Mus musculus: one gene and its partner. The protein of the gene in region 1 purifies or fractionates together with the protein of each later gene. This does not show direct contact. Links are inferred from orthologs where the notes say so. Each region holds a gene or a part of one and is shown on either strand. Other genes may lie near its edges.

What was found. The genes of interacting proteins can lie anywhere in the genome.
Region 2: the proteins of Kpna3 (region 1) and Kif22 purify together in Homo sapiens (affinity purification with mass spectrometry; 3 studies listed by BioGRID and IntAct, counting the BioPlex papers as one, with this or other methods). This does not show direct contact. The link is inferred for Mus musculus from reciprocal best matches to the Homo sapiens genes KPNA3 and KIF22.

Annotation. Positions count from the first base shown.
Region 1 is NC_000080.6:61,370,368-61,374,023, forward strand, and holds part of Kpna3 (importin subunit alpha-4), read right to left. Parts: intron 2,720-3,656; coding exon 2,591-2,719; intron 609-2,590; coding exon 504-608; intron 407-503; coding exon 335-406; intron 179-334; coding exon 16-178; intron 1-15. UniProt on the Homo sapiens protein: Functions in nuclear protein import as an adapter protein for nuclear receptor KPNB1. Binds specifically and directly to substrates containing either a simple or bipartite NLS motif.
Region 2 is NC_000073.6:127,027,109-127,029,859, forward strand, and holds the end of Kif22 (kinesin-like protein KIF22), read right to left. Parts: intron 2,393-2,751; coding exon 2,227-2,392; intron 1,869-2,226; coding exon 1,807-1,868; intron 1,175-1,806; coding exon 962-1,174; intron 883-961; coding exon 823-882; coding exon of another isoform or gene 733-822; coding exon 685-732; 3' UTR 623-684; downstream 1-622. UniProt on the Homo sapiens protein: Kinesin family member that is involved in spindle formation and the movements of chromosomes during mitosis and meiosis. Binds to microtubules and to DNA. Plays a role in congression of laterally attached chromosomes in NDC80-depleted cells.

The sequences.
Region 1 (3,656 bases):
AGGGGCACTCCTTACCTCCACACTCTTCTATGATCTCAGCTATTGTGCTTGCTTCATCACCAGCCATTATCAGGATGTTTTTAAGACCATCTAGAACCACCTGCACCACTTGAGAATCTTTTACTGACAGTAAGTTACAGAATGGTGGTATTACGTTCTGCTGTACAAGGTATTCAACCTAGACAATACAAGAGAAGAAATATCTGTAATATTTGTTAATTCTTTTTCCTCTAACAACTGCAGTACCCAGACGAAAACATCTAGTAACTTACAAAAATAAGAAGGGCCCTTGCTGAAATTAGTAAAGTGACAAGTTAAATTTTCTCATACTCACTTGATCTTTTCTGCCACTTATCGTTAAGTTGCTAATTGCCCAAGCAGCTTCCTTTTGTGTTCCAAAGTCCCCCTAAAATGTAAAAACAATTTCGCAAAGTAAGCTCTTTATCAAAAACATGTGGGTTGTAAAAAATTAAGATAAATAATGAATTTATAATATAACTGACCTTAGCGAGCTGATGAATAATCATAGGGATTAACCCAGCATCTATTACAGCTTGAACTTGCTGCTGATTGCCTGCTGTTATATTGGAAAGGAACCATACTGCTTCCTGTAGTGAACAAAATATGGACCACTTTTATTGAAAAAGCTACTTTTAATGTTTTTATTTTTCTCTTTAATATTTTAAATATTTGATAACAAAATCTCCTGAGTAGTGTTAAAGTGACCAAATCTAAAAAGTGATCGGTTGTGCAAGACTGCCCTTTTAATTTTACTTACTATCGCTGTATGCGATTCTAGTTTTGGTATATAAGCAAAGGTTGTACACATCTGTGCCACAGTGCATATGTGCAGGTCAGACAAATTCTAACTTTTGAGATTTGGTTCTCTCCTTCCATCATGTGGCTCTAGAGATCTAACTCAGGTTGTCAGGTTTACAAGGCAAGCATTGTACCTGCTATTTAGCCAATTCAGACTTCCCATTTAAGTAAAGAGGAAGGAAGCTTCCAGTCGTGATACTCGTATGTCCACTAAACCCAGTGTTTATGTAATGATCTGTAAGCCTACTTTAAGCTAAGCATAATTCTAAGTAGATACAACAGCAAATAAAGCAGCCTCAAACCTTTCTCCACAGAGTTGTATTAGTTTATTTTGAAAGGCATGCCCAAAGATTGGAATTTCCAAATTCTTGTCAAAACTACTTCCACTACAAGATATTTATTTTAAAGCATTAGGTCAGGGGAGAAGGTTCGGTGGATAAGGTGCCTTCTACAAGAACATGAGGACCTGCGTTCAGGTACTCAGCACCTATGCGAGACACATGGTGACCAACAACTATAGCCACACAGCTTGAGAGAAAACGAAACCCTAATACACTGTAAAGTACAGCCATAAGGGAAAATAGTTTAAAGGGTCCTCAAAAAACTACCACACAGTTACCATGACTGCAGCAACTTCTAGCAACATCAGAGAGTAAACTAAATCAAAGACTTGAAAGTTACTGATGTGTCAGTGTTTTCTGCAACTTTATTCACAATAGCCAAGCAGTGGCAACAACCCCAGTGTCATTCAACAGGTAAATGAGAAAAATGTGGTATAACATCCAACAGAGTGACTTATTCGGCCATAAAAGCAAATCAGGTCAAGGCTTGCTTGGGAGGAGGCTGAGGTGGTGAAGTGCCTGCCATACGAGCATGAGCCCCGACGAGATCTCTAGCACCCATCTAGAACCTCGGCTCACTGACACATATCTGTAACCCAAGCACTGGTGAGGCACAGACACAAAAGATCTGTAGTGCTCAGGTCCAGTGAAAGACATTGCTTCAAAACACAAGGTGAGAGCATGATCTGTTCTCCAAAACCAGAGCCCAGCTCCTAGGAACACCTGGGCAGCTCAGTCACCTCCTGGACCTCCACCAGCTCAGGGAGGGAGGGGCTGTTTCTGACCTCTACTGGCACCTGCATTTATATGCACATGCCCACCCACCCATACACAGAATTAAAAATAATAAAAGTCATTTTTAAAAATACAATGTAGGGAGTAACTGAGGAAGATAACTGATGCTGACCTTGGTCCTTCCCCCTCACACACATAAACACACACACACAGCTCTAACATTCTATTAAATAAATGAACTTTAAAACAAGACATAAAACTACTTAAGTGTCTGCTGTCCAATTACAAATACATTTGTGTGTGTGTGTGTGTATTTAAAACTTTAAAGGAATACATTTTATGATCTTTGAAAGAAGACATGATACCCTAAGGTCTTTTCTATGTTGTAGAAGATTAAATTACATGTTTATTTTTTAAAAATACCAGTTATTTTTGTGGGAGGTTTTGTATGTATTTTTTGTATACTGGTTAATAACTTAATAATTACCAATTTTGCTCAACCTATTTAAACATAAAAAGTCCAAATATTCACTATTTTTATTCTGTGCTGAGAGTGGGACTAAAGGAAGCAGACAGTGATGAAACAGTAAAACCGTGACAAAGATCTCTCCCCTGGAGTGTCATGACTGAATAAACATCCTAATAGCAACGAGGAAACCGTCATAGAGAGGAGAAGCAACAGTGCATGCCTTTACCTTATTTATTTTCTCTTTTGGGTGTGACAAGAGGTTTGGGAAGTGGGACAGGACATCACAGTTGAGAACCACCTGGGTCTGCTCATCAGTGCCAGTCACTATGTTCCCAACCGCTCTGAGTGCTGCAGTCTGAAGGAGGAAGAAAACAGTTTTAAACATGTTTATAATGAAATTGTTGTTTCCGTCTTTTTCATTAACTCTTGAGAGACTGTGAGGAACAAAAAATTAACATTTATTCCATCCCTACAACAAAGCCATAAGCAAACCAAGCAATGGCTTTTAAACAGTAATTTCTTGTGGTATTTTTTTTTTAAGATTTATTTATTATTATACATGAGTACACTGTAGCTGACTTCAGATACAACAGAAGAGGGCATCAGATCTCATTACAGATGGTTGTGAGCCACCATGTGGTTGCTGGGATTTGAACTCAGGTCCTTTGGAAGAGCAGTCAGTGCTCCTACCCACTGAGCCATCTTGCCAGCCCCCAGTGGAAAATTATTGAACTCCACATAAAACTTTCTAGGAAAGTTTTTTAAATAGCGAAAACTAAAATTTATGAAGTCCCATCTTTAAAACAGTTCTTATTCATCACTGAACAGGTCCCATAGACTTTAATATTATTCTGAATTAGCATGCATTTGTGTCTACCACGTCATATACAGTCCTGCATTTAATATATTTAATGTCATTCTGGGTCAGCATTTATTTTTAGTTGGTAAAACATTTGGCAGAGAAGTATAATGAGCAGAATTTACAACAACCCCTAATCAGAGCACAGCAAAAGGTATGCAGTTAGGATACTATCCCAAAGGCAGACTGAAGACTTCAGTGAAAAGAAAAGGGACCTGAAACAGAGCAGGATGAAGGAGGAGCCTAAGCATTCAGCAGCAAGGATGGAGAAGGAACCCAGGAATCCAGCAGGACATGAAGGAGAATGCAGGCATCAGATATGCACCATGCTGTCCCTAACAGGATACTGAACACAGGCATCAGATATGTACCATGCTGTCCCTAACAGGATACTGAACACAGGCATCAGATATGTACCATGCTGTCCCTAACA
Region 2 (2,751 bases), on another chromosome or scaffold:
CACACTGCGCGCCGGAGGGCGGGCGGGGGGCGCGAGGACACACAAGAGGCTGGAGCGGGCGCGAGCGCGAGTGCGCGCGGGGCCAGCGGGAGGGGGAGGGACAGGAGGGACTCTAGAGGGCGGAGGGACTGGGGAGCCACCCAGCAGCCCCGGTCGCCCCGAGCGCGAGACCCCCAAGACGGTTGCTGATTGGCTGGCGATGGTGCAGGTGGTGGGCGCGCGGGAGACTAGGCGGCTTCTCTTCCCCCACTTGAACGATTCCACCCCCCACTTCCCTCCGCCAGCGGCCGTTATTTCGCGCGCACGCGCACATAACAGGGACGTCGTTGCTGAGCGGGAGAGTGGGGAGCGCGCCGAGGGAGTTACAGCGGGGCGGGGCTAGCTTGGAGCGCGTGCCCGCTTAACGGTCGGTCGCTGTGCTTAAGCTTTCGCGTCAGCTTTTTGATTCTTCTAGGCCACCGTCCCCTCCCCATTCCAGTGGTTTATTTACAATCTTGGCCTAGTTTGGGGGTTTCCCAAAGATGGCGCCTACATGGGTGTCCTGCAGAGCTTGATCCTGACCCCCAGGGTAGTTATGGACTCTGACCCCAGCCCTGTCATCCTCAAAAACCAGGCTCAACCATGGAATAAAAACTGTATTTACACAACACGTCACTATACAAGGATTTTTAAAAGAAGGTAGTGTCAAGAGGGACCGCTGTGCTGGCTGGCGGCCAAGCTCAAGAGATTCGCCTGTAAAGAAGAGGAACGTGCGTTAGCATAGCAGCCTAAGGTGGGCTGCGGTGGGGGAACACCATGCAGAAAGGGCAAAGGTGGCCTTACCTTCAGGAAAGACTCCACCTGCTTCCCAGAGATGCCTTCCACCTGTTCCAAGTCCTCCACCTAGTGGGACAGCAACACTAGGAAGGGAGTGGACACAGCACGGGGACCCCCCCACTGCACCTGTCCCCAGGGTTGTTACCTCACTGAAGGGGCCGTGGAGCTCCCTCCAGCCCACGATGAGCTGGGCTTTCTTCTGGCCAATGCGCTGCAGGCTGCGCAGTTCCCGAGCTGAGCCTTCATTCAGCAGATCCAATAATTTTTTGCGCCCATGTGCCAGTAACTCTGGGCTAATCTGTACCTCCCAGTAGTCCTCATCCTTTTCCACAGCTTCTGACTCAGGGGATGGCTCCAGCTATGAGGTAACAGAAATGCCAGTAAAGGCAGTGGGTGACTGCCATGACGAGGCACAGTCCATCTCTCTGCGGCCTCTCCCCTCTGGTCACTAATTTTGTTGTGCTTCTTTAATTGCTAGCTCCTTTCTCAGTTGCTGTGAAGAGTCAGTGAGTGACTGAGCGCACACATCAATCCTGATTAGGAAGAAGTGTAATTCAGTGGTAGAGCGCTTGCCTTCCATGCTTGAGGGCTGGGGTTCAATTTCCAGTACAGGGGGGAAAAGGGAAACCAAACAAAAAACCCATGCGGGGGAAACTGCATCATGCCATTACAATGGGGACAGTTCTACTAATGTTTTGTGTGGAGAAAATTATATTTTTCATTTTATGTGAGAGATTCTTAAATACTTGTCCATTTCCTAAATAGGCTCTACAGTTCTTAGAGGGCAGGGGCCACATTAGATCCAGTCAGCAGCCAATCCAAACACAAGGGGCATCAGGGGCATCAAGAAGAAAAGAAACAGTGGTAGATATTTTCTATGAGACACATCCATACCTCACTCCCCCACCACACCCCCTCAAAAAAGCTCTATAAGGCATCTTTAAGGCATTATGCAAAAGGCTCCCAGCTGGAAAATGGGGTGGGACTCACCTTCCTTTTGGGGCCTTTCTTCAGGAGCTGGATTTGGTTTGAGGACTCTCGCTGCTTCTGAACTGAAAGGAATTTGGAACTGGTCAAAGACACAGGCCACCTCCTGCCCTCCCTCCCCTCCTAGTAACCATTTGCTTCTCCCATTTCTATTTCCCTAGCTCCTTCCTTTCAACATGACTTTTTTTTTTTGAGGCAGGGTCTCATTCTATAAGGCTAACCTAGAACTCATAGTAACCCTCCTGCCTCACCCTCCTGAGTGGCACCATAGCCAGTCAGTACCCCACTGTCTACAATACTAGAGGACAAGCATCTAGGGCTTCTTCAGACCCAGTGGGAGGATGAGTGACATGATAACAGCATCTTTCCGTCTCTTCCTTTCTGAAATAGCTGCTTCTTCCTGGAACCTGGAACTAAACTTACTCCGTTGCAGGGGCATCACTACAGCCTTTTTCAGGGGCTTTGCCACTGTGCCACTATAAGAGGCAGGCGGCTGGAGAATTGTGGGAGTGTTCTCTTTTTCCCTTGGATCCGGTGCCTCCTGGGCCAACACCTTGGCTTCCAGTTCTTTTTGCTTCATCTTAAGCCTCTGTCGGAAAGAATCATGGGAGATGTGATTTAGCTCCAGCCCCAAAGCAGTGGATTAGGAAGGTTAGCAGATAGAGTTCTGAGGTCCAAGAGGAGAGACAGAATTCAAAATAACTAAGGGAGGTCTACATCAGAGGGCTACCTAAAGACAGAATGAGTCCTTTTAAGCAAGGTATTCAACGTGAGGAGGCTTTGTTTTTTGGTTTGTGGGGTTTTTTGTTTTTGTTTGTTTTTTGGCTTTTCAAGGCAAGTGGTGAAACTCAAACTCAGAGATCTACCTATCTGCCTTCAGAGTGCTCGAATTAAAGGTCTGCAACACCACCTCATGTTTTAAAGATTTTTTTTTTTTGATTATACAGT